Linked DNA regions of Drosophila melanogaster. The protein of the gene in region 2 interacts with the protein of the main gene of each other region in a pairwise test. Each region holds a gene or a part of one and is shown on either strand. Other genes may lie near its edges.

Region 1 (9,218 bases), on a different chromosome or scaffold from region 2:
ATGACATGCCCATGCCCCAGCTGGAGAAATACTTGGAGAAATCTATACGTAAAATGATGGCCGACAAGCACGAGATGCAGATGATGTGCGGCTTCCTGGAGGCAGAGTCCACGCGCCTGGAGAATGCCTTGGAGGAGCAGCGAAACATTAGCTTCGAGTTAAACGAGTCTAGTGTGTGTTCCGAGTGCAAGAAGCGTTTTCAAACCCAGTCCGCCTTCGTGCGCTATCCAAATGGGCACATCGTGCACCTATCCTGCCACGATCGGCTCGCCAGGGCGGCTGCTCAGCAATAAGTGAAATACTCCAATGTGATAACTGATCAAGGTATAAAGTGCGAATTGAGTGTAAATGTCTGTATTATTCTGTTTTTAAATAAGCTTTTTCAGTACTCGTATGTAATGGATATACTGCAATGCTTATACAATATAATATAGTTTGCATTGATTGATTGTAACAATCAACTTGCAGCTAATCATCAACAATTAAAGACAAGCAGAAGTATAGAAAACCGATATTGTACATATTTATTTGACTATATTTACAGGAAACTTGCTTTGCACTGGCGTGGTTTTTAGGCCTCCTCGCTGCCGTCCATGAGGCTGTCGCCGTCCAGGGAATCGTTACAGATGGACAAATCCGACTCGGACTGCGCTCGACTCAACGGCGGTAATGCGCCCGAAAGCGACAGCGAGTGCTTGCTATCCTCGTTGTCCTCCTCCTGCAGGCTGGGCGAGGCTGCACTGCATCCGTTTGTGCGTTCCGTGGACACAGAATGGGCCGCATTGGCCGACACGGATACTTGATTGCCCAATAACGATGTACCTGGCAGTTGAGTTTGCCTTATCAATGCCAGCCGTTGTTGTGTCAGTTCCAAGTGGTGCTTGCGCCACTTGATCCGCCTATTCTGGAACCACACCTTCACCTGAGCCTCCGTTAACTTTAGGGTGTGTGCCAAGTAGAGCCGCTCCGGGCCGACCATGTACTGCTGGCGCTCGAACTCCGCCTCCAGGCACTCCAACTGCTCCGGCGTGAAGATTGTCCGGACGCGCTTGTTCTTCAGTGCGCTCTTCTTGTGAGAATCTGCCGAATCACAAAATGATGATCAAATGGAGGTATTAGATGTGCACACACTATGTTTACTTAATACCCACTTATGATCAAATCATGGGTTATTCATCGACTGAAACACCTGCTTACCCGACTTGAGTTTTTCCCGCTGAAAGCTCAGGGTGGCCTGCTGCTGAGCGTGGTGTTGCTGGTGGAGCTGCTGCAGGCTCTGCAGGGCGGAGGGAGCTGCTCCGACGGCGGCGGCAACCGCTGCAAATCCCGCCTGGTGCGGATGCGGATGCTGGTGTCCGCCGTGCAGGTAACGTCCATTACCGGCGACACTATCACAATTGAAGTTGTTTACACTCGGGCTGCTGTTGTTGTTGCCACTGTTGCTGCCGCCGTTATTGTTGTTGTTGTTGTTGTTGTTGGGGTTGCTCGTGTAGCACTTGTTGTTGTCGTCACCGATGATGTTGTTGTTGTCGTGCAGGGAGAGATTGATGGCATTGTTGTAGTCCTTGCGCTGGCTCTGCAGGCCCAAAATGGCGGCGATGGTAAAGGACTTGCCCACGTCGAGGGAGGAATGCGCCGCTGCCGCCTCGATGAGCTGCGCGTGCGACGTCGCAGTGGCTGCCGCCGCCGCCAACTGTTCCCGGTGGTTGCTGTTGCTGTTGTGGCTGCTGCTGTTGCTGCTGCTACTGCTGTTGTTGTTGTTGTTGCCGGTGGTGGGTGTCGGTGGGTGTGGGTGGTGGCCATCCTGGTGGTGGGTGTGCAGCTGCTGATGATGATGATGTTGCTGCTGCTGCTGCTGCTGCTGCAACTGATGATGCTGCTGCTGGTGCTCCATTTGGTATGAACTCTGACCCGCCGAGACAGCGACCGCCGCTGCTGCAGCCGCTGCCAGCGCTGCATGATGCGGTTGACCATGTGCATGAATGCCCCCACCCAAACCTCCAAGTCCGGCGACCGACGATCCCCCGCCGCTGCCGCCGCCACTGGCTTGTGTGTTATGCAATGCCAGGAAGTGCGACAAGGGATTTGCGTGATATTTGGAAGGATTCTGCAGCATGCTTAGGTATTTGCCACTGTCTCCGAGTTGTCGTCCGCCTTCTGCCGCTGGCCTCCGGGATTCTCGGTCGCTCTGCAAATGGGAGAAATGCCTCTGTTTAATTGTTGCTCTGCTGTGGAGCTTCTGTGGCTGCCAGGTGTCAACGACTCCCCGATTAAATCCACAATTAAGTGAAATGTGATCGCTGGCTGAAGAAGTTGCTCTACCATGAAGTGCTTGGTCAGCTCAGCTAAGTGGTGGGAGATGGAACAATGGAACTACAACTGGTTGGGACGGACCTTTTGATGACTTTCCCTACACAATGACAATTTTGGAACTGAAGTATTACTAACTTAATATAAGTAGAAACAACAGTATCTAAGGTTAACAATACCAATATTTCTAGTTTACAATCGTCTATAAACATGGTCCTATCAAATTAGATATTAAAATAAGAACAATATCTTTAATTATAAGAAGTAAATTTTCTTTTAAAGGATCTTTAATATTTTTAATCAACAGAGGAATCTGCAACTTTTGCATATAAGTTAGAATTATAACTCTATATTTCAATGTTAAAATGGATCCTTTTTGTACATTATTTCTGGCATTCATTACAAGGGTTAAAATTTTATAATATCAGCTTATGTAGAATAATTTTGAAAAGTGTATAATTTGCTTAATGCCAGCTTCTCTCGCTCGCATGCATTGTGTTTGCCCAGGTAAGCCAAACCTGAATCGTTTTGTGGCAATGTGATAGCCTAATTGAGACTTTGTCACAGTTGCTGCTTCATTGTGGCAGATGTAGTTGCTCTCCCAGGTGAAGCACCATCCCAAGTCCTCAGCACTGTTGTCGCTCATTGTTTGTGCTTTAGGCCAAATATGCGAATGTCTCAAGCTGCATTTAAGCTGATTTGACTAAATATGCGAGGCTAATGTCGTGTGCGGGCCAAATGAGCTTCATTAGGAGAATGCCATTTGGGTGTAACAAGTGGATTTCACACACATTCCGGCTGTGAATTTCTAGCTACATTAATTGTGGAGCTTAGATCCTGAGAGAAAAGCTAGTATGTTATCCTATTTTGTATCTTTCTAATCACTCATGTTCATTTATCAGTCTTTGTTCAATTTGAAAAAAATTAATAACGATAAGAAACTTGTAAAAACATATAAGCACTTTAAATCAAATTTAAGCTATCATCTGAGCTATCATAAATATGATTTTGTATTGAAAATTTTAGGTATTTATCTTATTGAAACATACAGATTTTAGCTGAATGATAAATTTTTAGAGAATCCGTTATAAAATTTTAAGCATTGAATGCATTTTAAAATATTGGGCATAATAAATTATACATTATTGCTATGTTTACAAGCTCAACGCTGGTAAATCTCAAATAATTCTTTTAATGGCATATCCAAAATCAGAAATCTTTTTTAGTAATCTTGAATTAAAAAGCCGACGGAACTCGATTTGGGCCAAAAATTCTTATAAATTGCAAAAGTTACAAACCTTCTAAACCAATGAAGTTCTAATTACATTGATTTCAATTGCAGATGTAATCAACTCAAAAGATAATCCAAGCGTGAGTTAATCAGTTTTCAGTACTTTCACTATTATTTTCACGAACACAGTTTTCAATCTGAAAAATTTGCTTTTCCGACGGCACTGCAAAAAGTGTTGCCTACAGTTCTGCGCCCAACGGCAGTAACGGAAATCGAATAGAAAATCGAGCGGAAGTTTAACTGCCGGAAACACATGCGAACGCGAACGTGTTGCAAACTGAACTGAACTAAAAGTTCGTGGCCGTAAAATTTTTACATTATCGGCAGCGAACGCCGGCAGCGAAGCTGGCAGCGCTGCTTTCTGTTTGCTGCGGTGCGCTTGTTTGTGTCTGTGTGCGGGTGAGTGATTCTTTTTGTGGGTGTGCGTGAGTTGCCGTTGTGATTTTTCTATCCGCTTTTCCTTTGGCTTTTTTTTGCTCTCAACCAGGGTTGTCAAAACTTTCACTAATAGTATTCATTAACTAGTAATTAAGTGCTTTGAACTTTGTTCGTTTTCATGAATACATTTAATTTTTTGTGCTAACGAAAACAGAATTAAATTTAAATGAAAAATTGTTTTAAATAATCTTGGTATCTTGGTTTTTGACACAATTATGTACATACCTAATTTTTTATAATTAAATTTGTTACAATTATTTGTACCTTAATTTAGTTTAAATCTATTATGTTCCTAAGCATTTGAACGATTAAAGTGTACATTTAGAAAGTCTCTCTATTATACATTCATATATATGATATTTTAAAACATATTGGTACAACACATCCGAAAGATATAGATTTATTATTTGTCTTTTAAAAGCAATATCTTCAAAACAGCAAAGCGTTAAAATCTCCTTTTTAGACTTTCGCCCATGACTTTGTTTTGCTACAGTTGACAACCCTGCACTCAGCTTAGATCAGAGCCATTGAAAGAGCCAACAAAGGAAAGAAGGAGATGAGATGTAGCTGAGGCATAAAAACATCGTCAACCGAAGCCTCATCATCATCATCGTCATCATAATCATCGTTGATAGTCATCGTCATTATTCAGGAGCATCCACCAGGCAGTTACATAAAAAGGAATCACCCACCAAAGGGAGCAATCCACCACCAGCCACCCGAGCCACCCACCTATCAGAGCAACCCTGCCCACACACCCATTGGTAAACACCCGTTTCCCTTCCGAGGGCGAGTGTATAAAAAGTTATTGAAATTATGATATAAATGGATAATTGGCTCACTGGTAGCGTCTCCCTCGCTCATGGCAAATGGGCGGTACCTAAGCAGTCGGAAAATATTGCGGGACAATATGGCGACGCTGGATTATTAATATTTTGTGAATAGGTGGAAAAGCCACTGGGGCAGGGCTATGTGGGGATAGACATAATTAATGAAGCAATAAGCTAAGAAATTACATCGTAGATACATCATAAGTATAAATATCTAAATTTGGACAGGTAAAATCGACAAAACAACGCACATTAATAATTTGTTTTAAATCTTAATTTAGTTAAATTTTCACTGTATACAACATGATATTCAATGTCGAAGTGCAATTCAGAGTCGAATTACCTTTAGATTTAGTATTTCAGTTTACGACTTATCAGTAAATAAACTTTGTCAATTTCATTTTATGGTCCTTTTTGGCCGATGTTAGTAGTATTAAGTCTTGGAAACGTTTTTGGCCCAAATCCCCAAACTAAGTTGGCAATACGAACTATCTACAGCCGCAGGTCAACCCCAAACCCAACCCCAATTAGCCGTCCCCTTGGCTCCACCCTTTTGCCTGCCAAACGGGTGTTCAATTTACCGTTTGATAAACTACCCGGAATGCCAACGATCATTACGAGCCAGCGAAACTGGCGGAAACGGAAATGGAAAGACGAAGGAGGCCCCAATTAGCGGCCCATCAAAGTAAATCAATGCAAGAGCACGTGGAGCGGGCAGACAAGGAAAATGCCAAAAAAGAACAAAGCAAATGGCGAGTTTACACACAAAAAAATAAAACAAATGTAATCCGTTAGCTTTGAAGAAACTTTAAATGTATGTACATAAAATATAGTAAAAGTAGTAGATGATTTTTCACTGCAAGAATTTGCTTGCTATGCAGTTGCAATCGTCATAACATTTAAAACGATTTAATTTGGGTAAATCGACCAAGCTTACGGTATTTAAAGAAAATAAAAACCAAATTGTTACAAATTGCCTTGTTCCCTCAATGTCCAACTTTCGTCTCATCTTTCAAAAAACCAAAGAGGGACAAATTCTAAAATCACAGCCAGGAATTTGCAGCCAAAAAAGGGCAAACGGAGAGGTGGAATTGGGAACTGGAGCTTGGCAACGAGCTGGGGATGGAGAGGATCCTTTCGGGTGCTTCGGCGTCACGTTTGTCGTTTCAATCATCATTAGTGCTAATGTACCCACAAGAATTGGCCAGCCACTTGGCGCCGACGCTGACGTCGACGCAGGCGTCGGCATTTAGCAATGGCGGCCGCAGCAGAGCGAAAGAGAGTGGTGCCAGAAGAAGAGAGAGAGAGAGTGAGCGGAAAATCAGTTTTAACTAACAGAATACACATATGCTTACATACATATATAAATACTTTTTATATACCCACATATTTTATTTTCCATTTATTTACCACAATTTTAATATTTTTTCGAGGTGCAAACAACAAAAACAACACGTTCATAAAACAAACCCACATATACTAATGTGCACCGCGCATGCTCTTAAGTGGCAGGAAAGAGAGTTAAAGAGAGGTGGGTAAGTGGGGGTCTCTGCCACCGACGCCATTGTTGTTGTGCTTTTGGCCTTTTGATAAACTTCGTTGTCGTCGTTCTCGTTGTTGGTTTTGTTGTTCATGCCCTGTGGACGAGAGATAAAATGAGATGAGAGGCGTAATGATGATGATGTCCCGTTTCCGGTAAAGGGAGAAGAGGGGGCGAGGGAGAAGAGGAGCGTTGCCATAACCATAACATTTATTTATTTTTATTTAATAAAAACCCCTCCTGCACACAAACATTATAATGTAATCTAATAAATAAAACACAAACAAGCGGTAGGAAAACTTTTTTCATTATGAATTATTACGGTGAAAGTGCCAGGAAATAGGAAAAGGGGCCATAGGGCCCCTCGGCAAACGGGCAAATAAAATTACTGTTAGTCCTCGCACAGGGCTGCAACGCGGGGCTTGCTAAAAGTACAGGGTTGCCTACTTTACGGCTCCATTGATGGGCAACACTGCGTATGAGTTATAATAATGTTGTAAAAATATTAATATTACTCAGGGAATTAAATGGAAATTAAATTGAAAGGGCAGAATAGGGAAGGCTTAGAGTTTAGCTGTTCATGAGATACAGGAATACCAATTTGTACACCATATATGTACATAGATGGATTAATTTTCAAGGACAATGACATTTAGTTACGTTAATATTTACATTGAATAAATTATTATTATTCGACTAATTTCAGAGTTTTTATTAATACATAGAAACATTCAGTTATCAAAAAAATGTATATTTACTAATTCGATTGACAGAAGTCATTAATTGTCTAACTGTTTATTCATTCAATTGTGCATTCATATCAATTATATCCGAACATATATTTTATATTACCATCCTTTAAATGAGCCGTAAAGAACACTTTCTGTACTTTGTCCGTGTTTCCTGCTATCCTTTCTCATTTAATGAAATATTTTTATTCCTATGGAGCCGCACGACGTTGTGGCACAGGCGCCCCAGCATCCCCACACAGCTCCATATACACACACACACACACACACACACACATCTTGGCAGGAACAAAGTGCCTAAGCTGCTCCACCAACTTAATCCTCTGCTGCCCACATCCTTCGCATCCTGCTTGGCTGTACCTCCTGGCAGGGCTTAATTTTATTAGCCCTCTGCCCATGATTCGGCTTCACCCTCGGAATGGCAGCATTCATTTGCTGTGCAGAACATCATCATGAGGTTGAGCCAGCCAGCCCCTTTTGCTCCTTGCCCATCGGAGGCGCCCCCTTTGTTCGGGCTGCCCCCTTTTTCTTGGCCACTGGCTCACAACAAAATGGACTCAAAAATGCGAGAGGAGCAAAACATTTGCGGCATGTTTTTAATAATGTTGTTTATAATGTTGATTTTCCTCAATTTTATTTGTTGCCGTATTTTTTCCGCATTCCCCCCACATCCATTTCTTTTTGATCTATGTATTTGCACCACATTCCTTTTATGGGTGGAAATATACGAAATGTTAATCTCTTTTTTTTTACGGCCTCGAATCGCTTCATGCGATGCCCTGTTCAACTTTATGGCTATTGAATTTTTAGAGACCTCTCAACGTGCTAAATCAAAGCCCATTCAAAAACTAATTACAACATCAAAACTTATAATGAGCGGAAAATTAGAAATTTTTCGATTGCCCTCAAAATCGGACAACAAACGGCCAGCAAATCAGGTGAAAGGGCGGCAATTTTGCGATTTTAATTAAATCCGTCTATTCCGGTGGCTCTTCCGCCGCATTTGCTGCCACATTGCCACTTTGCCGCTCTGCCACTTGAGTGTGTATGCACAGCCCGCTGTTGGCCATATTCAAAATGAGTTTTGGTCCCGCCGTTTGGGTTTTTGGCCAAAACTACTGCTGCACTCAGATGCGCTGATGGCGAGCCACTCGAAACAAAAATATTTTCGGCCCCATTTCGTGCGCTTTTCGCTCCGCCAAAAATTAATTTCCATTTTTTGATTCCATCTCTCTGTTGCGCAAATATAATGTAAAACCTAATCACATTTTACGGTTACGCTTTTCAATGTTTTAATTGGAAATTTATTTGGTTATGTTCGCAGCAGCACTAATAACTGCGTTTTTAATTGCATATTGTTGCGTTAAGCGGAAGACGGGTTGTTAGATTTTAATTAAAATCCTTGCACTGAAGCAGATTTCTGGCTAATAGGAGCTTAAATCGTGCTCTTGCAGTTTTTAGTTATGATGTCAAATTGAACATATTGTTGTATTCTGATTAGCAAAAGAAGGCTAATGCACATTAGATTATATTATATTAAAAAAAGATAACATATAATCTATAGTACAGATTATTACAGGTAAAATAACTATTATGTAAAAAAATTATATTAAATATAGAAAGGTAATTTAAACTGAGCATTTTTCATCAAAAAAGTTTCTATTATAAACTTTTCCATTTTTGAGTTTGCATTCGCTTAGCCTTGGGATTTCTCCTTAATATTGGTTTACAAGTTGAAGGTATTTCATGATTTTTGACTCTGGTTTGTTCAATATGTTATATTCACCTAACATGCGAATGCCTAATATGTTCAGTTCAGAAATATTTCTAATTGAGTTTTGCGGGTGTTTAATATAAAAATAAAACTTAAAAAGGTGTGATTCTGGAAGAAATAAGAAAGTCTACAAATAGCAACCAAGTGGAAACTGACTTTGAACGCAACATTTTATTTGACAATCCAGATAACAGATATGCATATTAAAAGACAATAGAAGCTCTTTTAAGTTTAAAATTTAAATAGGTAATCCCGCAGCAATTTAGAACTTTTGGTCTGATTCTGA
Region 2 (8,028 bases):
GTTAACAATCTGGCAGATGTACTCAAACTTTCGATACAAATCGAATAAGCAGGGACGAGTGCCTGAGGTTTAACGCACTGCGGGGTTGTTTGTGAGAGTAACCTTCAAATTTTATATTAACATTTTATATGTTACAAGTGAGAACGCTATAGTAAAGTCCCACGACTACCAGATACCCGTTACCCGGGAATGGGCATACAAATAAAACTAAACAATACAAATGAAATGGAAAAATGTCAACACATTTTTCAAGGGTGTGGACGGTTTTGGGTGCTAGAATGCGCGTGGCAACATCAGAAAACAAACTTATCTAGGCTCTCGAGTTTTTATAGTTCCTGAGATCTCGACGTTCATACGGACAGACCGACCGACATGCTCAGATCGACTCGGCTAGTGACCCTGATCAGGAATATTTGTATTTTATAGTGTCGGAATCGCTTCCTTCTACATGTTTGCTTGAACAAATTTTATTTTGATAATATATTTTGATTGGCTTATCGAATTTTAACAATTGACAATTGACTATTCTCACCTGCCTTCCTAATTTAACACATTTTTATCGGACAACAGCGTGCGCTTCGTCACAACGTGGACAGCCGTCCGCAGTGATATCGAACAGCAGCCGTCGGAGAAAAGGAAATAAATACAAGAAATCGCAAAAGTTTTTTTTTGTAAATATTTTTTGGTGTAAGTATAAAGACAAAATATTCAAATCTGTAAGCTTCGACATTAAAAGGTGCAAACCGCATTTGCAACGTGAATTCAATTATCCCTAATTAATTTAAGTGGTTGTTTACACCAGGGAGTGCCTCAAACTTTCACTTCAATTGATTGTCCAGGTTTCATATTTCAAATGGGAAGTGTGTTCTCGTCATCCAATTGTACGTATACGACGGCCTATTAAAATCGAAAACGATTACTTTTCGGAAGTTCCGGGGGTTGATTTCAGAAGCATATGCCTTTTGACGATACATATTCAGATACTGGGGTAGATAAAAAATGGACTAAAATACCCACTGATGAGTTGGCAATAATTCGCTTGAGTGGGTACTGTCAACAGGCAAATAATAGGTGTTCTTTTTGGGGGCGGGCAAACTTTACAACACAGATTGCCGCTGCTGGTACCGGTGCCCGTGATGGCCTTTTGTTTACACGTAAAACATCATGCATATTTAATTGGGTTAAATTGCTAGACGATTAACATTTGAAAATGAAATGTGCGGATAATTGAGTTTACCTTGACTAATTATTTTGCTTTTGATACAAACGGCTTGTATCCGTGGAAACAGTGAATATATATATACTGATATTTTAAATCAGTAACTCGCAAGTGATCTCAATCGATAAGTTTTCGCTATCGCTTTAATGTGGGAACATATGTACATTGTATATTCTATAATGAAAGTAAAGAACATAAAAAATCAAACTTCGTATATTTGTGGCAATCGTTCGAAGAAATGTTCAATTTTAAGACTTTTGATATGCCCTTTGAAATCACTTCCCTAGTGTTTAGAAATGTGTAGTATTTACACGAATCAGGTGAAACATATCTCTTCTAAACCGATGACTAAAACATACAAATAGCGTCCACCAGGATGATTACTAGCCGAGAGTACTATTAATGCGAGTTGTTTTGTTTATTCCACTTTAAGATTCCTGTAGTGGTATAAAGTAAGTGCCGGCCCTTCTCCATCTGTAAGTAAGTGTTACAATTTTTGGCATCGGGTGAGTATGTAAGTATGTACATAAATGCATGTGCTTCACACTTGCGACTATGTACATAGGTGCACATGTACATATATTAACAATAAGCTTTGAGTGGAATATTCACCTAATATAATTTATGTGTATGCATTGGTTTTTTCTTGAATGTTCGACATATTCACAAATTTGCTTTACACATTTGCTTAAAGAAATTAAGTAAATAAATAAATTATTAATAAATTAGTGTAATATTTCAAGAAGACCGATGTCCATCAGAGGTTTGATAAGCCTCGCCAGGAGCATTGTCAAAGTCACCTGGGGATGTACCAAACAAGGTTTGTTTTAAATTAACAGTCATGCTTTTTTCTTTTTAGTTAAATTATTGATTAAATAACTATAAAAAGAATGTTGTTGTTCCCAAAAGCGAGATTGGCTCTCCTTTATACTGAGATCGGATCTTCTCTAAGCCGAGATCGGTTCTTCTCGATACCGACTTCTTCTGGACATCGAGAAGACATTCTCATTTCGATAGCTATTTGCACACTGAAAATGTTTCGATCTCGATATGCGTATGCTGAGTACGATTTCATCTTGTCCAAATTTTAGATCGAAATGAGTATATGAGTAACGGCAATAGCAATATTTCGTCACCCGTTGTTTAAAAACAATACAAGAAATAAAAAACTCAGCAAAAAAATACGTTTTTATCACGAATTTTTTTTAATGCTGTAGAGCCCTTGTAATTCCCTAACATCGCAGGTTTAAAAGTTTAAGCAACATTAAACAGCCCCTTTGCAAATATGAAAGAACTAACCCTTTTTATAACAAAAAAATATTTCGTCATATAAATTATAAAAATTGTTTAGAAGTGTGGTCGTGAAAATTTTGGGAGTTTTGTAGGTCAAAGGAGGGGCGTGGCCACAGTGTTTTTGGTATACCGATAAAAATACGCAAGACTAACTCACACTTGTACATATAGTTTGTGAATTGTCGAATATTTATTTTACTTATAAATCTCAAAATTGTGTAAACTTGGAATTTGTTTTTTCTTTTCTTGTATAATTAATATTTTTAATTTCTTTTTTGACTTAAAAATAAATATTGTTTAATTATATTTTATAAAAAATTGCGTTTAATTAAGCAAAGAACCCTTAATTTTTACCTTTAAAATCAAAAATTCAACCTATTTCACAGTGTGTAAAAAGTTTTTTGACAAACTGTACATACTGTCAGTATCGAAGGAACGCGGTGTCATTTGGTGACTATCCAGGTGAGTACAACCCCAAGGTGCACGGGCCCTAAGACCCCGCTCGCTTCTACGGTAAAGCCTGGCTGGGACGCCGCAACAAGACGCCCAACGCTGTGGCCGGAGCCGTGAACCGTGCATGCTGGCGCTGGCAGTACAACTACGTGTTCCCGAAGCGCGCCGTGATCGCTCCCTTCTTCCAGCTGACCGTCGCCAGCATGACGTTCTTCTGTCTGATTAACTACACCAAGTTGAAGCACCACAGGAACTACAATACCACTAAGGGTCGCTGCCCAGTGGTCCTGCATCTACAACAGATTCTACACTTTCCACAAGACGTGCCAGAGGCGGGCAGCACTAAACTATATCTATTTGGCTTTTGTGTTTTGAAAACTGCTAAAGTGAATAAAATGGCTGTGAATATCCATGCTGCCATAGACTCAGAAAATTCGCAAGACAAACAATAAAACAAAGAAAAATCTAAAAAAATTCAAAAGTGTTTGCGTCGCAAACGCGTCTAACGCTTTAGGGCGTTATTGTGGGCGTGGCAACAGGTTTTTTGGCAAATGAATAGAAATACACAAGACTCCTAAAATTACGAAAAAAAATTTCAAAAGCGTGGGCGTGGCATTTTGGGCGGTTTTAAAGTGTGGGAGTAGCAGTTTTGTGTGTGTCGATGTGTCTATGTCTCTGGAAGCTGCATCCTCAATCTCAACATTCTAGCTTTTACAGTTCCTGAGCTCGAGACATTCATACGGACAGACGGACAGGGTCAGATCGACCCGACTCGATCCTGCTTAATATATGGTCGGAAACACTTCCTTTCATACTTTTAACCGAATCTAATATACCCTTTTATCCTACGACTAACGGGTACAAAAATATAAGAATAAATAAAACAATATATATTTTTTTAAATATCACTTTAAACCGATAAGCTCGATTACGTTTTATTTTGAGTTTAGTATACAATTTATAGAACATTTTAGCCAGATAGTATTCAATGTTCTGAAGGAGTATACAACTTACCGATTTACCGTATACAATTTACCGAAGAGTACAATTTACACTTGTTTATGCTATATGGAATATATACGCATTGGTATAGACTTTTTACGACATTTTGCACTGTTTTAAGCGATTGTAAGTATTGATTTTTCGAACTAATGATTTTATTTTCGAAATTTAAAATAACGTTTTGTTGCAGACAGACAGAGAAACCAACCAAAATGTTTATTTCGTCACTATGTGGCCTTATGTCCACATTAAAATTTAAATATTTAGGAAATCCTTAATGATGTGGGGTCAGACGAACTTTTTGTTTTATGAACATTTGTGCGCGTATTTTCTATATTTGTTAGATAAATTTGTTAACACTTGTTGACTTACGTTCAAGTTCCGTTTAGATTCATTTCGCCTTATTAACACAGTTTTTTTTGTGAAGTTTCTTAAATTGTGTGTATTATTTTTGTTTGTTTTAAGATTTCGGTCCACTTTTATAATATATTTGGAACGTATATTTTATATACGTAATATTTCTCATTATTGAAGTTACATCTTATAGTTTGATAAAAGAAAGTATACTCGATTTTAGTTAAAAAATTTAACACAGTAGTTACTTTCTTTGAGGACTAGATTATTCCAACACGAAATAGGTGCGAAAACTGAATATGAAACACCATATTCGTTGGTATTGACATCGTTTAAAGAAAAGCAGCAGGAGTGGGAAACCGATACCGATACCAGATTGTAAAAGTCTAAGAACAAAATAATCCTGCTTATAGCCAATAAGAGACCGAAAGCAAATGATACACCACAGAAGAAGATATATATATATACATACTAGAAAAAATGAGCCAATAAGAATCAACTATCCTAATTTCCAGGGCGTTTCCAAAAGTACGCGCCTGCGCTCTTCTAAATATAATAGTTTGTGGTATCAACCCTGTTTTTGTACAGGTATGTAGCGACAATTGAAATGTTAAATGTTGCTTTCTATTCAATTAACTTCACCAACGAATTTAGGTAACGATAATTGAATTTAATTGGCGAGTTAAAGGATGTGTGTGTAATACATGAGCTCATTCTCACACAATTCATATACAACTGACATTTTATAGCAGTACTTAAGAGTAGGACGGTCAATGTTCTATGTAAAACCGAGATGGAACACTATAGTCAAGTTCGATATTTCAAAATTTTTGTAAAATATCGATCAAATTGAGAAACACTACAACATGAAAATATTTTTTAAAAATTTCAAGTTTGAAATTATTTCAATTTTGGTCCTTCCGTATCTATCGATACGCCAAAACGAATTTTTAACTTTTTCGTTCGTACTCTTACTAACCGAGTATGTGTATCTGTAACAGGTTGAAGGAAGAATTTCCGACCCGAAATATATACATATATATTTTTGATCAGGATTACCAGCCGAGTCGATTTGTCCGCATGAGCCTCGATCGCAGGAATTTTGAATCTAGAAAGTTGAGAGTAAGCATGCAGTTTCCAGATACATACATATATGCAGAGCAAGTTTGTTTCCTGATGTTGTCACGCCAAAAAAGGTAAACGCCTCCGCGCCCACACCTTTGAAATTTGTTTTGAATTTTTTCATCACTTTATTAATCTTGTAAACTTCTATCGATATGCCACGTCCACTCTTACGCCCACAAACCGCCCAAAACTACCACGCCCACACTGTTGAAAAATGTTTTGTTTTTTGTATAGTACTTGATTTGAAAATTTCTATAGATGTACCAAAATCATTTGTGAGTTGCTCATGAACCGCCCAAAATGTCACATATCTGAAAAAATTTTTAATATTATTATTTCTTCCCTATTCAAATTGACATACCAGAAAATTGGTGATATTTTTCGTTCGAACTTCCATTAACAGAGTAACAGGTATCTGGTAGCCCGAGAACTCTACTATGGCGTTCTCAGTTGCTTAATGTGGATTGGCCAGAGCTTTGATGTAAACAGATGTGCCTAGATGGCTGGAAAAATGAAAGCATTTTTCTGTTGATGTTATCTATGTTAAAGCTACGACTCAAACCTAGTAAATTTTACTTGAAAATAATTGACATCTCTATTCCTACACATGTTTTGTTAAATTTTTGTATTATATTATCGATTAGAATTGAGTACTTGTGTAGATTTCAAAACGGGAACTCAAAACAACTGCAAAGTGCGTAATGGCAACACCCAATATGTGTAGAAATAAGGATGGCAACATCGTTTAATGGGACTAATGCGTTGCCCACGGTGGGAAATTTTAGCAGCCCTGGTTTGCGTTCATTTTCTACGTCAACAAAATTCTTCCCATTGTTTTGTGAAGGACTTTCAGCTATTTTACCATTATTTGTTAATATGTTTTAGTCTTGGCTTATACCCGTTACCCGAATACTAAAAGGGTATATTAGGTTCGGTGAAATGAAAATGTTTTTAGCAAGGTTAGGATCAATAGCCGACTGTCCGTCCGTCCTTCCGTTCGTAAGAGCGTCCAAAGTTCAGGAGCTTAAAAGCTTAGAATAAGCATTCAACCCAAAAAGCATAGACGCAGCACTAGTTGGTTTCCTAATTTAGACACGCCAAGTCTAAACTTTACAAACCGCACAAAGTTTTCACGACCACATTTATAAAAAATGGTTGTATATTTTTCATAATTTTATTAGTCTTGTGAATTTCTATCGATTTGCCAAACAACTTTTTGCCCCGCCCTCTCTAACCCCTAAGGGCCGTCAAACCGCTTACTCCCACACTTTTGAACAATTTTTAAATTTTTTCTTATTTTATTCCCCAATATGTATCGATATCCCAGAAAAAATATGAAATTTTGAGTTCGCACATATTAGCTGAGTAACGGGTATCTGATAGTCGAGGAACTCGGCTATAGCATTCTCCCTTGTTTTTATTAAAATATTTCCGTAATGGTAAAGGTAGCTCAGCTTTTGAGGCTATTAAAGCAAATATGTTTGGAGTGCCTCTTAATTTAATGAAGTGCTCTATAGTTGGATTTAGCATAGTAATATTTTATCTTGGTGTATGTGAAAACGGAATAAATACTTTTCATTATCTAAACGTCGACACAAATAAAAGGGTCTCAATACTTGATAACAGCCGCTTGAAGTTTTTGTTATTATTTAGAAATGCCTAATTTTGAAGCTGGCTCCAAAAAAAGTCGTCAGCCACAGATTTCATCTGATTAAGGTCAGACAAAAAAGCAAGATGGATAACAATTGAAGATCACGAATGAAAGACGGGCCTGTGGTACAGCTTAGATAACAAAGAGTGGGATATTCTACTAGAAACCACAGCCGATGCCGACAAGGTATTGTAACAAACAAAAGAGGTCAAAATCGTTACACTAAACACCCGAGCAGAGACGTGCCCTACACAGATAAATGGAAAAAATGAATAGTCCTTAGCCAACCCCTACTTAGGGATGTGTAGCGAGTAGAGTTGAGCGCTACCCTTGAAGCGAACAATTAAAATTATGCATTGTGTGTGGATTTGTGCATGAATAAATGTATACGATTTTTGTATTTGTATTCGATGGTTAAAGGGCGGGACGATCATACATACATATGTATGTACATGTGTGCTGCACTTTTATTGGTATAGCATCTGCATATCTATGTATGATTTTATTTTAAATAAACTAAAGAATGTTGATCAAAGCTTCCATTTTAGTACACCCTTAGCTCGGTCGTTCCTTATTAAAGTACGAACAGCTTAGAAACTAAATAATACTGTAGATTTTCAAAAATCAGCACAAATCACAAATTTGTCTCTGAAACCCCAGTATGGTTGTCCTTCGGTACAAGGAGGCCTTTAGGAGAAACACGCGTTTCATATTATTCGCCGGATACGGAAATATTATTTTAAATAACTGCGCACCATCACGAAGGAAATATTTTCCCGTGGGTTCGTCAAGGGACTGAGAGTGTGTATATATATATTCTCGGACCTAACTGCGCTTGCCCTTATAAAGCGGTAATAGAAAGGGAAGAGTGTGCGTGTGCACGGGAAATTAACAAAGAAGCGTGCAGAATCTGATTCGTAATATATGCTTA
Region 3 (7,798 bases), on a different chromosome or scaffold from region 2:
AGCTGGCTGTTACACCGACTGCCAATTAAGCCAACTCTGCACGTAGCCGCAATAAACGAAACTCGAGCAAAGTGAAAAACACACTTTTCGGTTGTTTTTGGGACTTTGATTTTTTTTTACGCTTTGACGGCCCATAAATTAGCGCTCTAAACGATTGCCTGGCACTTGTCACCAGGCCGCCGTCTCATTTAACCTTTGACCAAATGCCGCTACCAGAGAACCGCGTGCGTTCCAAAAGAGGCGTGGCACTTGGAGCCGACGAAAAAGCAGCACGCGCACTCAAAATCAAAATAAAAACCTTATAGAAAACCAGGCTGTCCCCGGTTCTGGCGAGTGCTGTCTACCAAATGCAATATGACTTTCAAGTGGCAGCTCTATGGCGTGGTTTCCTAATAGACCAAAAAGCTACCGCTTGCCCAAGCCGAAATCGGAAGCAAGTGAAGGCAAAAACGTATCAGGGAATACCCTCACAATGGGCTAAAATAATTAAACAAATAGAAAAAAACAAGAAGACTTACACACAGATTTCAAGTCTTATAGGAAGATGATAGTTTCGCAATTTATGCTTACAAGAGCTGCTAAAACATAAAACATGTAAACTGACTTGGGTAATGAGAGATATAACACATATTCAGCGAATCGCATCTGATTTTGTAAGTCTCCAAGTTCTTGTAAGAGCAGACAGCTTATGAACAAAAAGTAAACTGGAAGTTGTGGAGCGTTAGAAACTGCGTGGACGGCTTTTATAATAATGCGAGTGAGTTGAGCGGCTTGCCTGAGATCCAGATGAGGATGCAGGGTGGGTGGGGTTCTTTTCGCTATATAAAGTAAGGTGCGGCTGGGCTGTAGAGCGGAAAAGCGGCGCAACTGAAAAACGCGTTTAATTGAGCTTACCTGCCTGCAACCTGGCTGCCCACTAGCGCCATCTAGCTGCGTGCGGCTGCACCAAAAGCCGGCTTTGTTGATTTTTTCAGTTTGCCACGAACAGAAGAAAAAAAAAAACCGAAAACAAAATCGATGATTCATCGCTTGGTTTGTTGTTTTGAGTGGATTTCGCCAACTGCAGCAGGCCCACAAAAATACTAGACTGTTGGCGCTTGCCGCCTGCTGCTGTTGTTGATGTTGCTAGTTGCAGTGTTGCTGGTTGACGGTGACGCAGTCGCAGTTGCAGTTGCAATTGCAGCTGCGCCAATTCTCCTCTGGTTTGCCGTTTGCATTTCGGCGCTTTACGTTCAAAACAATTATTATTCTGGCAATTAATTTTGATTTAAGCAGCGATTTTCAATACATTTCTATACATACATATAAACGGCTTCATATGTATAGACTGCTTTCCTAGCTCTTTGTAACCCCCCATCGAGTCTCCCTGACGGTTGAATGTCTCGATTTCTGTGGATTTTCATTTCGAGTGCAGCGATAAATAAACGACACCTACAATGCATATCCGAGATGGCATCTTTTAGATTGCGATGCGATTCGAACCGTTCGTCCGATAGGTAAAGTAATAGAATGAGGGAAATTAATTTGTTTACCTCAACTCAAAAAAACTAAATGTGTTGGTGGTTTCTGTTTTCTTGTGTTTTATTTATTTAAAAAAATTAAAATTAAATACATGCAAGTAAATGGCTACCTTCACCATATTTACAAGGCTTAAATCATAATGTTTAAGGTAAAATAAATTATAAGATTAAATTATAAGTTGGTAGGTATGTCGTATGAATTGGGGCTTAATTATCTGGCACCTTTTTGATTTGTACACGAATGAGTTTTAACAACGAACTATAATACAAGGAATTGTCAACGAAAACAATCTAATGCTAAGCTCTCAACTGCGATATGAGTTTTGGAATAATTTAGCGATAACTCTAAATAAATATTTCTGATAAACTAGAGACCCTAAGAGGCAATAAAATTGCCCTGACTAATTTTTGGCACTGACTTTTCCCTGAATCTGACTTCTGACTTTGGCTAAACTGACTAAGATTAATAAATGGCCGGTGGTTGCATTTGGTATTCCCCGCCCTCCTCCTCTTCACCATTACTGCTGCCCACACTGCCGGCGTAGTAGAGTTGGTGTGGATTGTGTCCCTCCTCGTAGACCTGGAGGTGCTGCTGTAGCTGCTGCTGATCAAAGCCCCCTCCTGACCCACTGGGACCTCCACTCTGCTCAGTCTGGCAACCGCTTTGCAGGTGCTTGGCCAGCAGGGACATACGCGAGAAGGACTTGGTGCAGGTGGGGCACGAGTACTTCTTCACATCCGAATGGGTTTGCATGTGCGCGCGGAGATTTGACCTATCCGCGAAGGCCCGATTGCAGTGTTGGCAACTGAAGGGCTTCTCTCCCGTGTGGGTGCGTATGTGACCCTGGAGGAGCCATGGTCGCGAAAACGCCTTGCCGCAGATGGGACACTTGCAGGGCAGGGTATGCGTGCGAATGTGCATCTTCAGGGCGCCCAAGGACACATAGGTCTTGTCGCAGTTCTTGCAGCTGAAGACCTTCTTCACCTGATTGCCCTCGGCCGACGGACAATGGAACTGCTGGTGCTTAGAGAGTCCCGAGTAGGTGGAGTAGCTCTTTCCGCAATCCTGGCAATGGTATCGCGGCACTCCCACTGGCTTTTGCATGCTCTGTGCTGAGGCTACATTAGCTGCCTGAATCAAAGCCGAAGCTTGATCCGTGCAAAACTCGGTTTGGTCGACTATCGCACCTGATCCTCCAGGCTGGCTTCTAATGATCTTGTACTCGGTGCTTTCGTAGGCGTGCGTTTGTTGATGCTTTACCAATCCTGCATAGGTGGCATAGCACTTGTTGCACTGCTGGCACTGGTAGTACAGATCATTGCTGCTCTTGATCTTCAGCTGGTTGATGTCCTGATTCTCCTGATCCTCTTCCATGTCTATCGGAGGCGGCGCATGTTGCGGAGCCATGTGTTGCATGCTCAGCAAAGCTCTGGCCACATTCTGCAGATTCATGTTTTCGCTCAGCACTCTCCTCTGGGTTACGGATAGGTCCTCCGGTTCGGCCAGTGGAGTCGGGGGTGGATAGAACAACTGGGGTGATGGAATCGGAGGTATCTCCTCTTTGATGTTCTGCATTTTCATACAGTCCTCATACTCGGCTATGCTTTTGAGTAGGTTGTTATTGTAGTTTCGCAGGGGAAATTGTTCCTCATCAGAGGGTTCAGCCTTGATGATGGTTGGGCTAGCATCTCTTGTATATCGAAGAGGCAGATGCTGTTCTGGTTCCGGCTCCGGCTCCATTACTTCCTCCTCAGGTGGCAACTCGAACTCGCCGTAACCCAGGCGAGCAAGACTCTTGGCGATTTCCTCCCGGGTGAAGACATCCGGAAAAGCGCGGGCTATCTCACGGGTTTCCTCCCAAATGCGACGGGCCAACTGCTCCTTGGTCTGATTCATGGCTGCATCGAAGCGGCGCCTCAATTCCGTGGGCACCGGCTGAGGTTCCGGTTCGGATTTAGCCATCCAATGGGGCTCCATAGGCACTGCAGCCGAGGCCACACTCAAGTCCACTGGTCCTTCATCTGTTGAAATCAGCATAAAGTTAAAATATGCCTGTAAATCACTTCCGTAGCCTTAAACCTACCATGACTTAGGTGATCCTCTGGGCTGGACTCCTCCACCATTATCGGACGCTTCTTGAGCGGGCAGCGGCTGTACTTGAGTTTATCCATGGTTGCTATGTTATTATTCCTTATGGTTACTGATCACTGATCTTCGATTTTGTATTTAATACCGATCCTTGAACTTAAATCACTGCTCACTCATTTGCTTTCGCCACACGCGTCTCGATCGCTTGGAGTTCCTTGCTCGAATGATGCAACCCGGCAAGGATCAGTCCGGTTTTATAGACTCCCGATCAACCCCCTGGCAGGATGATCAACCCCCTGGGCAAAAAGGATCTTGGCGTCTACCTACTTCCGATGTCGCCCGGGATTCTGTAAATCCACCCCGAACCACGAGCCAAAAGATCCATTCAGCGATCGAGCCACAGCTGTGCGTTCATTGAACGCAGATACAGCTGCAGATCGGGCAGTCCGGGGGTACCACTGCCATATAGAGAATCGTTGAGAGAGGGAGGGACCTGGAGACGAGAGGAACAAATCTGTGTGTAAAAAGCGAGCACGTGCCACAGGGACTCTCTCCGTTCCACTCGCCGATCGCCACCAGCTGCCTCTCTGGTTCAGCTCGTATTTCCCCTGAATTTCAATGGTATGAGTGAGCGGCAGCTGGTGGCGAGCTTGCTATTGCTATATACCCGATCAAGTTTATTTATAAGCCTCTTTCGGGTCCGCCTCACACGATCGCTTTGTATATAAGCCTAATGGACGTTTGCTCTTCGTGAGCAGGTGAGCATGCTCTTTGGAGCCCCACCAAGAGAAGTTTCGTACCCCACAATTTTCAACTCTCTTCGCTCTTTGGGGCGCTCTTGTTCCAACTGTCAGTCGTCCCACGAACTTAAGAGATAGCTTTCTGTGCTATTCGGAGGATAATTCAGCTGTGTTTTCTTAAGCTTCTTATTATGTTTACTATTCAAATTTTTCTGAGCTGAGCTTAAACGATCACATATTCGGCTGACTTTGCTGATCGGAGAGTGTGAAGATTTTTCAGGGGCTCGACTTAGGAAATTATGCCCAAATATTTAAATACCATAATAATTAAAACGTTCTCAATTAAAATCATTAAGATAGAAGATATTACAATAAAGGTACAGGAAAGTTGTTCTATTTTCTCTTTCAAAGCTTTTCATTTGTTGTATAAAATCGCACGCTGTTACAGAAGAAAAGAAGCACTTAGGATTCCAATTGATCCTTATCGGAGCGATCCTCTCCGGCTGGCAGCTGAGTAGGATCAGCACGTGACATTGGCTCCGCCATTAAATCGAGCCAAGCTACAATGCAATGTACCCACTTAGACGTCCACAAAAATATTAATCACCAGGACAAACAGCGCGCAGATCTAAGGTAAATCAACCTTTCCCAGAGTATTGTTCCGGTTCTCCGCCTCCTCGTGTATCGGTGCACTCGGCAGAAATAACCCCCTAACGGCCATGAAATTTCAATTCCCGATATTAAAGAATCCCGCCATCTGCCAGCGACCTCCAATCCACCCCAAAATGGGCATGTGCCCGGACAGTTACCTGGCTTTATTTTTCCGAACGGAGCTGAGTGCCTTGGAATGCGCCAAAAGAGAGAGGTTCGTGCAAATCTACCTGGCGCAGTGGTCCCACCCCAAAATCCACGGCATCACCAGACAACCTTCGTCGGAATAAAGCCGGTGATGGTGGTGGAATTGCAGTTTTGGACGTTACTTTCTAGCCAACCCCTCGTCGAGCGTCTTGCAAGGAGAGTCGCACCCCCCGATCATCATCTATTCCCACATCTGCCGACTGTGACACGTACCACAAGGAACTGATTTCGTCTTGGAACTGATTATTCCATGCCACGGGTATTTGGCGCCAAAATCCTGTAACGAACTCAGCTGGCCGGGATGTGTTGTGATCCTTGTAACAATAGGAAATGTTCTCTGATGGTACATTGAAAAGTGATTTTTGAATTATAATTAACTGGAATTGAGAAACTATTAATCGGTCTTTGATGCTTCGTTGGCTCATCTTTTATAATGAAATTTTAATTCAGGGTAAGCAAATTATGCCTTCAATACTCTAAGATCAAAAAATCTGATACTGATCTTTTATGAAGTGTTTAAGATTCAAAAAACCTTTAGAGATTGCCATAATTAGAGTGCTAAGTCTCCCGAGTTCTTTAATGTATATTTAAGCATTCTACAATATACAATAATATTCAACAAAAATATTCTGTTTCTGATCGGATTTTCTGCCAATAAAAAGATTTCACCAAGTATTAAATCAGAATTACTTTCTTTAAATACACCCTTAATTTTCTTATTTATAATACATTTCAAATATGTGCATCCATCATCTTGATCCATGATCACAGCTCAATTGTGCGACTAGCCAGCCATCTGCCGATGATCATTCGATTCTGACCATGGCCAATTTCACCTTCTGCTTGGCCAGCCCTCGAAGAGTGCAGATTTGCAACAATGCGGATAGTGTCATCAAACCCTGGAACGCCGAGGAAAAGCTAACTGCACATCACCTGGCAGGTAAACCGCAAAGGCTAACTGTCCCACACAGATTTCCACTGCTCCACAGCTGAGTGCCTCACTTCAAAGTGTCAAACGGCCGCACAGAGTCGCATAATGAAGTGCAAAATGTCATTAATTTGCCGCCGTCAAGGTGGCAAGGCAGCGAGTATCTGCGGATCGGGGCATCCAACTTCAAACTATCCGAGTATCTGTGTATCTGCTGGCTGCAGCTGCGCTCGGGAGCGGACAAAAGAAAGTCGGGCGGCGAAATAGACGTCCAAGAGAAGTATGCAGAAATCCAAAACGAATCCGATCTCGATCCAGGCCGCTTGTCCCAGCCACACGCCGACTTTTGTCTCACATTGTCACGAGCTGAAGGTTTTTCAAGCCACTGAGCAGACAATGCGGGAGAAATACAAGACAAATACAAGAAAAATGCGATGTCGCCCAGACCGAGCTGCAATCAAAACAAGATCTTAGAACTATTGGCGCCTGATACGGCGGGGGAAGCTTCAGGTCAGCGAGCATAAACGCCGCTTTTGAAATCCGATATTATTATCTGGCCGAAGTTACACGGTAACGGTAATTATAATCGAATAAAAGCAGACAACAGTCTGAAGCTTCCGACGCCGCATAAATTAGTCCCGACTCCCGGAGATCGAGACTAAGAAAATATGGAAGCTACGTCTATAATTCAAACTAATTTGTTTTATTGACAGCGTGTGCGCTTCGATAAGAGACCCACCGCATACACTCTCAAATTGGTCAATTATGTGGGGTCTAAAACCAGAGTCTCGGGACTCCAAGGCGTGTTTCATTAGTCGGAGTGACAATAAATTAAGTTTCGACTTCATCGCCGCTAATTAAAATGCGCTCTTGAGATATTAATCTGCTGGGAAGAAGCTTAGTTACTAGTCTTTGTGGTTAACTACACAGGAAATAAAAGTTCTCTTCATATCAGAAGCAAACATAATTATAGACTTGGCCATCCGTTCTTTATGTGACATTTTTCTCCGTGTATCTATAAGATTGGTTTTTCGGACCACCCGCTTGGCATTGGAAAGATAGATCGATCCGCTGATCGCTAGCTTTGGCGCTCTCATCTCGAACTCATAATCACCGGCGAGCTTGTGATTTTATTTTCATAAATGAATCACGATAATAAATTGTTTATGTTTCTTCGGTTCTTCATGGGAAAAAAAGATTAGCATCAGCGTTTATGTTAATGCAATGTTGAGACATCATAAAAATGAAAAATTTGCCGCCTTATTAGTTGCCGACCGAACAAATTTGGCAAAAGCTGAATCACTTGCAAATATATATGCATATCCGAAAATCTTGAGATAATTTCTTGGAGTGCTTAATTTAATTTGCTTATCAATGTCAAACATCCTTTTGGGTATTTCTTTGGTAAAGTTGAAGGGCACGCTGAAGTTCAAGTTCGCTATCGCTTGGCAGGTATAAATACAGTTGGTAAGTACAGGAAAAAGACCCTTGATTGATTTACTTTATGATTTGCCAAATCAATCCCGTTTGAAGTTAACTAAAATAAAAATAATCTACCATTGTGGTAGCCAATTCAATGGCTGAGACACACCCATTTATTTACCTATAGTAGAACCCCCATATGATGGCCAATCAATTAAGTGCCATTGAGTGCCTAATATGG
Region 4 (7,594 bases), on a different chromosome or scaffold from region 2:
GCATGATTCCTAATTACCCAGAAGTTGCACGCCATTCAACCCTTTATGTAGCAATTTGCCAATGTCCTCGGTGGAGAATGAAAATGTGTCTTTTTCTATCTAGGAAAATTGCACCTCAAAGGGCACAGAATTTCGAAATATTTACCCGCACAGAGGGGCCATTTATGTGTCCCACTCCGAAACGGGAAAAGATATGAGTACGACTTTATGAACCCGGCGTCGGGCTCTTCGGGTTTATATACGCTTTTAGGTGCAGCGGGGGCGTAGCATAAGGGGCTCTGGAGGGGGGGGGGTGGGCAAAAAAGTGGTTAAAGCCTTCGAGTCAAGTGCTTATCAGTTGCTGGAGGGGGGGGGGGAGGGGCTGTTGAGAAGAGGGGAGTTGTTGGACGGAAAAGGGCAAGGGCTTCAAAACAACTTGACTGACTGCACTTTATGGTTCATTTTGCATGCCTCAGATGAGCCGAGGCCTGGACCCCGGAACCTAGAAAAAAAAGGAAAAAAAATTGAGCAAAAAACCAAAGGCTTCAGTTACATATAACGCATGCCAGCGCTTTTCCTTAGCTTTTCACCAACCCCACCCCCCTCCACACTGCGCCTTGTGACTATGCGTTTTGGTATTTTTACTGCTGCGTTCCCATTTGCAAGACAGAGAATTTTGAGTTGCTTTTTCATTTTTAATGCCACATCTTGGTCGCTTGGACAATGTTTGCTAGAAGATGGAGCGGGGCGGGGCTAAGGATGCTGAGGGGGCTGTGGGGGCGCGGCGGGACTTCAGGACTTGTGTGCCTTGTCCTTGCCTGCAGCGTTAAATTCTTGTTAAAATATTATGAACAACTTTTTGCACCATTCCTTTTAATGCTTTAAAAGGAATCCCGGCCAAAGAAATCTCGACCCCTAGGCCTTTTGGATTTTTTCGAATTTTGTTTGGTTGCCATGGTGGTTGGTCAAGTGGCAAAATATAGCTTTAAATGATACCACATCAATGTTCTTTTGTAACTTTTATCAATTTGTAAAATAAATATAATAATTTTGTCTGCTTCTCCAACGGAATTAAAATCTATTTGTGTGCATTGATATTGATATGTTTTTCAAATAAATATTTCAGAGGAATTCACACCATACGCCAGATATTTTTTAAAAGATCTCCTTAAAGAGTTTTCCAGTGCAATTAAGCAAATTTCTTTAGGGGAGACAGTTGAAGTGCGCAATTATTTCAGTTGATTTCACCTGAATTGACGCGACTGCCGTTTGCTTTGTGCCAGGTCCTTAACCAAAACACTTAATGGCGACCGCCCGCCCATGCATTCAGTACCTGCTGCTCAAGGACCCCGATTTCACCCACGCCAACGATTCACGGCCATGTCGCACCTAATTAGGCCAATTAAATTTAGCTGCAAATTACACACGTTAAATGTGTAAATTAGGGGGGGTGGGGTTTCCAACTGAAATTGAAATTAAATGCATGTCGCATGTGAGGCGCCTCGCATCGCAACGCATCGCGTGCTAAAGCCAGATAGCCTGGATACCTGGATTTTGATTTGGATTTGATTTTGGTTTCGGTTTAAACGGATGCACTGACCGCGCCCGTCAGCCAAGGGATACTTAATTCGCTGGCAAAGTGGCAAGTGCAATGGTGTCACGACAACAATTGGATTAATTCCCGCGAGTTAGTCATTAAAGTGCGTAAAGTGAAATTCTATGCACATGACCTTTTTCAAGTCCATTTGTACACTTGACTAAGATTTAATAACAATATTAAAACTCAAATATTTTGTATTTAAATCTGGCACGCCAATCTGTGTCCCTTTTTCTGTTTTTTATTTATTTTTTTGAGAATCTTTTTGGGTCTCATCAATCAAATGACAAACAAAAGCCGCTGGACTAGTGAATTTAAACTGTCGCCGGATGTAGAGGTTCATTAAAGGAAAACAAGGGGAAAAGGTGCAAAAATCCCAAGCCTCTTTTGGAGAAAAGTCTCACTTTCGAAGTTGGTTTTAATTCAATTACCGGCTTCTTGACTCAATTTCCGCCGCCAGTAGCAACTCACCTGATTTGACTGCTCGAAATCGCTGGACAGTGGTAAACTCAAAAAAGAAATCAAAAAAAAAAAAAAAAAAAACCAATGGAAAGGTAGGAAAACTTGGGCACAAAAAATACGGCACGGTTTTTGCATTCACTTAAAAACTTGTTGAAGTAATTTGTTTCCCTCTGCTTGTTTATATTTTAGGCAAACATTCTTGTTTATATTTCATAGAGCACATAAAAAAAAATCAAGAACAATTGTGAATTGTTTTTTTTTTTTTAATGTACAATACAATTTTAAACTTGGATTTTCCCGGATTTTTAGAAATGCTATCCTTAGCCCGATTTCGTAGGATCCTTTCTAGTCCGCCACACAACCGTCGGTCAGGACATTCGCCAGCGAACTACGCGCCATCCAAATCGAAACAGTCGCAAGTGGGCGCAAAACCAAAACACAGGACGAAGTCACAGCCGAAGGACCCGAAGGATGCGCGACTCGAGTTGAGCGTTTTCGAACGTGGCCGCCTACGACAAAAAAACTCAGCATATTTTAGAATCTTTATTTTATTATTTCATGAAATATTACAGTACTCGCAATCACAACAACAAAAAGAGTTGGGATTTTATTATTTATAAATTTTATTTTTAAATGAAAACAATTATGGAATCAGCATGTCAACATGTTCAAATATTATAAACAATTTTTAAGATAAGAATGCACTAATATGGCTAATATATTTTTGCCTTAAAATATAAAAATTGAAGTATAAACAAAATTTATTTAAAACATTTATTTATAATTAATTATATGTTTTTTCCATATGCGGAATTTGAAATTAGATTCACTTCAAGTTAATTTTCAGTGTTCCCAACGAAATCGAAAAGAACGCAACAGGCGCGCATGCAAATTCCCAAAGGAGCAACAAAATATTTGTAAACAAAGCGGCTTCGTTTGAGAGACGAAAGCGAATTTGAGCGCAAAAGCGCTGAGTGAGACTCAAACTTGAGTGAATTTCGTTGTGAATGAAAACGTTTGCAAAGAAGTATTGTTTTAAATTAATATCGCAGCTGAATTAGTTAAATACACAAAAAATATTTATCTTTCGAGAACTTACATTAAATAAAATTCACAGTTATGTTTAATATGTTTATTATTATAAATATGTTTATTTCTTAAATTTTATTTTCCGCTTGGCGCCCTAGTGATGGTATTTTTTGAACTGCCAGCGCGTGCAAAATATCGATAGGCCCAAGCGTGGTATATGACCAACTCTGGGTTGTAACTAAAAAATACCACACAAAAATCTGGTTTAAAAATACCTTCTGTTTAGCGTTCTCCGCTGATCTGGCAACTCTGTGGAAGCACGCGGCATAAATTCATCTTATTTTTGTTTGTTGCGCATAATTAATATGTTTTAGCGTACATTTGCCAAACCGAAAATGAAACCCTTAACTGTGAAAGTGAACGATGACACCGGCAAGTCTTTGGCTAAGAAGAAGCTGCAGTCCAAGGCCAATTCCCTGCTAAATGCCGAGCAAGTGGACATCAAAACGCTCAAGGGATTCGTACAATTGCTGGTAAGTTTAACAAATTAATAATTAACTTAATGAGTTAAATGAAATTATTATTATCTGCACGCAGAAGAATACGCCCGATAATATGCCAGCTGGCGAGGTGATGAATACACTCGAGGTGATATTCAAGAATCTGCTAAAACGAAAGGCAATCGACGGCACCGAAAAGCAGGGTCTCAAAATCAAAAAACTGTACGAGGAAACTTGGTTGCTTCTCATCGAGAATCTACTGGTTGACTCGCAGTGTTCGGTTGCTGTAAAAGTGTGCATGCAGCTCATCAAAGTGGAGGCCAAGCATCCCATAGCACCCAACAAGGGTTGGCCCACCTACTGGATTCGCGGCATGCTGGAAACCCTAATAAATAGCGATACAACGCCCACAACAGCGCTGGCAAACTATGGGAAATATTGCAAAAATCTCGATGTATTAGAGATAACCCTGACGCAATTGAAATCCTTAGTGCCCGATGAAGACTTCAAGGACAGCCCCATTAAGGCCATGAACTTTCTATCCATTGTAAACCTCTTGGATATGGGAAAGTCTGTGCTGAGCACGGCAGATTACCACGTGGAAAGCGCCAAAAAGCAGACTTTTAACTACGAGTTAAATCGCAAAAGACTGAATAATCTCTGGGCGACTATTATGGCAAAGGGCAACGAAGTGGACGAGAAACTGCATCGTCAAATACTTGTGGTGCTTCTGGAGCGCGTAATCAACCACCTGAACGATCCCATCCAGCTGACCGACTTTCTCATGGACTCCCTCCATCAGTTTGGTTGGTATTTAGTTTTCCGAAACTGAACCGATCCTTTCTAACGACTCGTTTTATGTTTTCAGATGGCCCCATTGCCTTGCTGGCTCTTCAGGGAATCTTTACGCTTATGCAAAAGCAGAATATCACCTATCCGGATGTGTATGAGAAGCTGTACAATATGTTCTATCCACGGATGTTCCACAACAAGTACAAGGCACGCCTGTTTTACTTGGCCGATATCTTTCTGACCTCCACCCATTTGCCCGAGAATCTGGTGGCGGCATTCGTTAAGCGTCTCGCTCGCCTGGCCCTTCAATCGCCGACCGAAGATGCTGTTATTATGATTCGATTCGTTTGCAATCTGCTATTGAGACATACTGGATTGCAGAAATTGATTCGCGCCAGCCATGCAGTCGATGAGGTCAGCGATCCTTACAATCAAACAGAAACGGATCCCGTCAAATCGGAGGCCATAAACAGTTCGCTGTGGGAAATTACGTTGCTGCAGAAACACGTTGTACCAGAGGTGGCCAATGCGGCACGGTTTATTAACTCATCGCTGCCCGTAATGGAATTCGACTTAGCACCCCTCTTGGACAGAAAGGAATGCAATGTAAGTGAAGAAATCGAATGATTTTTTTTAATATTGATTAATATAAACATTTTGCTCTTCTAGATTTTCGACGACGAATTACAGTCGAAGGCCAAACAATTTGCTCTGAACTACGAACGTCCTACCAATTTGGCTTTGCCTAAAAACCAATTCGTGACCAAATACTGGGACCTCATCTAGATTAGTGTTACTATTGCTAAGTTTAAGCAGGATTAAAGTGCTGCCTGTTATTGGGCTGCTGATGTGCCAATTCGGCCTGAAACCAATCGGCTGCTGAAATGTATCTGATGTTGCCAGGAGTCGGACTCCTCTTTAAGTTCATTTGATGCACCCTTGGCTGATTAAGTTGTCGAATCTCCGAGCAAGTGCGACAGGGACGAATCAAGGCGAAGTACACACACTCTGCAATGGATAGAAAGCTGAAGCCGAGGAATAATCCCATAAGACCTCCAACGCCAGCTGCAGGATTGTACGCAATTTGTGTGAATTCTTGTCTGAGAAAAAACAACAGGTAAATTGAAAACTCACATAGAAAATCGGAAAAGCCTATGAATTCGGTCTGTTTGTTTGCTCGGAATGTTGGGTCCTTAAAATACATATTCACCACCGCTACGCTGCGCTCCACATAGGCATCGGTAAAGTTCCAACCACCATTCGAAGGTGTCTCCCTAAAGCCGTCCAGCGATATTCTCGTCGAATAGGCAATTGCGCTGAAACTGAGATCGAAACACGATGGCAGGCACTCGTCAAGACATGATTCCATCGCTATTATGGTTCTAAATCGAATAAGCTCCACACATTCCCTCTTGTGCAGTGGGCATATAGTATCGTTCGCATTCAATCTGGGCATATAGAAGGTCACACAGCCGCAGTGGCGGATTAGCCAGCCGGAAAGGCACTCGGCCACACAATTTCTCTGGGTGTAGTGGGCGAACCAGCGAAGTTTTAGCTCATTGTGGAATAAACAACGCCTGCTCCGACGGTCCACATTGCGTAGATGCTTCTCGGTAAGAATTTTCGACGGATCTATGCGCAACTTGGTCTCCATTCCGGGTGCCAATAGGACTCCGGTCTCCCGGACATTCGGCGATTCATTCGGGCTATGCAGGGCGATCTTGAAGCCAATGCTGCTGGATGAGGAGCAGTAGTAGGCATCCGCCTGGACATCCAGGGTCAGCGATAGTCCCAATGACTCCCCTGTTCCTTGGGCTCGTCGAGGGTAAAGAGGATTATCACCGTCCGGCTGAAAGCCTCGCTTGCGATAGCCCAACTCGGCATGCCAATTGACTGCATGGAATCCCTCTGGCAGACTTATATTCCGATGCGAATAGGGAACTCTTTGGGGGATTATGTTTGAGAAAATGTAGCATTCGTTAGTAAGTTTGCTTATCGGAGTGCATTTCTTGGCTATCGTTTGGAAAGCTGAAACCAAAGTCATAGCCTAGCCTAGGGTTCGCAACTGACAAAAAGCGGGCTACAAAGTTTTCATAACTTTTGAAAAGGTTGGAGCCCAGAAGTATGCTACGCAAACAGCTTTTTCAAAAGCTTCATCTATGGATGGTTGGCGAAATGAAGGAGCTGAAGATATCTTAAGCTTAAATAAATATAGCTTTTCCTCTCACCTTTTCCGGTACATAAACCTGGGATGTAGCATATTAAAAACACAGCACAGACCTTCATCGGTCACGATGGGATGAAATAAACGTGCACATTCGTAATCATCGGCGCCAAAACGACAGTGAATAACCATTGAGTTGCAGGGCTGTGAGATCTGTATGATTAAAATAAATAAGCAGACAAGATATTGCTATTGCAAAAGTATCTGAAGGATGCTCCTGAGATATCCAACAGATAGCACGAACTTTTTGCTTGTTTCCTATCCAAGATTATCCAAGATGTCGAAATACATATACCAAATTAAATAGATTTGGAAACGTTTCTTACATTCAGTATGAACTCCTCCCAACGGGAATCGTTGGTCTTCACCAGTTCAACGTCCACCTTTCGCCGACAGAGCAACTGCAGCATTGCGAACTCCACGGAATCGTTGGAAAAATGTTCGACCCTTTCGGCGAGAGCCTGATTTAAATTGCAGATTGTCACTGCCGGAAAAGGCTCGTTGGCAATGGAAGTTAGCTCCGGATCGATGCCCACAATAACCGGATTCGTGTTCCATTTATCGAAGGCGTCCTGTATTAAGTAAATGGCGAGCGATAGCACAACTAAAAGGGCTATACCGAAAAATAATCTTCAAAATGATGAATGTTTAGCTTAAACTTATCTATTTTATAATTTCAATTTTCAATACCTATCACTGCTTCGCAATTTGCTGTTGTTAATATATTTTAAACCATGGATTGTGGTATTGCGACAAAACTCGTCCGTATTTCTGGACAAGATTCTGCGCCACGTGGATAGCGTGATCTGCAAATGTTGTGGCCTAGATCGCTTTTGCTGACTCGCAAAGAAAGCCCTTTGTCGATTACGTGGCACTCGCATCTTTGGTTAAAATCATACTGAGTTGTAAGTCCCCAGTACTTCTACTTATTTGTGCCCATTTCCATTTGCAAATTATAAAATTTGTTTATTTAATGTCATTTACTTGGCTGGGCAAGCATTTCGTATATTT

Evidence for each region.
Region 1: the proteins of fuss (region 2) and CG18599 interact in a two-hybrid assay, tested with the Drosophila melanogaster proteins (one large-scale study listed by BioGRID).
Region 3: the proteins of fuss (region 2) and wor interact in a two-hybrid assay, tested with the Drosophila melanogaster proteins (one large-scale study listed by BioGRID).
Region 4: the proteins of fuss (region 2) and CG2875 interact in a two-hybrid assay, tested with the Drosophila melanogaster proteins (one large-scale study listed by BioGRID).

The regions. Positions count from the first base shown.
Region 1 is NT_033777.3:18,262,455-18,271,672, reverse strand, and holds CG18599 (uncharacterized protein), read right to left. Parts: upstream 3,885-9,218; 5' UTR 3,609-3,884; intron 2,189-3,608; 5' UTR 2,117-2,188; coding exon 1,198-2,116; intron 1,081-1,197; coding exon 572-1,080; 3' UTR 501-571; downstream 1-500. Other genes in the region: Vps39 (vacuolar protein sorting 39), read left to right, coding at 1-293.
Region 2 is NC_004353.4:973,868-981,895, forward strand, and holds the start of fuss (fussel), read right to left. Parts: upstream 4,623-8,028; 5' UTR 4,340-4,622; intron 3,395-4,339; exon of another isoform or gene 2,899-3,394; intron 2,169-2,898; exon of another isoform or gene 1,238-2,168; intron 1-1,237.
Region 3 is NT_033779.5:15,421,739-15,429,536, forward strand, and holds wor (worniu), read right to left. Parts: upstream 3,843-7,798; 5' UTR 3,693-3,842; coding exon 3,605-3,692; intron 3,543-3,604; coding exon 1,984-3,542; 3' UTR 1,559-1,983; downstream 1-1,558.
Region 4 is NC_004354.4:3,569,374-3,576,967, reverse strand, and holds CG2875 (uncharacterized protein), read left to right. Parts: upstream 1-3,345; 5' UTR 3,346-3,462; coding exon 3,463-3,600; intron 3,601-3,664; coding exon 3,665-4,373; intron 4,374-4,435; coding exon 4,436-4,965; intron 4,966-4,967; exon of another isoform or gene 4,968-5,028; coding exon 5,029-5,145; 3' UTR 5,146-5,167; downstream 5,168-7,594. Other genes in the region: ppk8 (pickpocket 8), read right to left, coding at 5,168-5,424, 5,494-6,302, 6,588-6,736, 6,910-7,213, 7,274-7,464.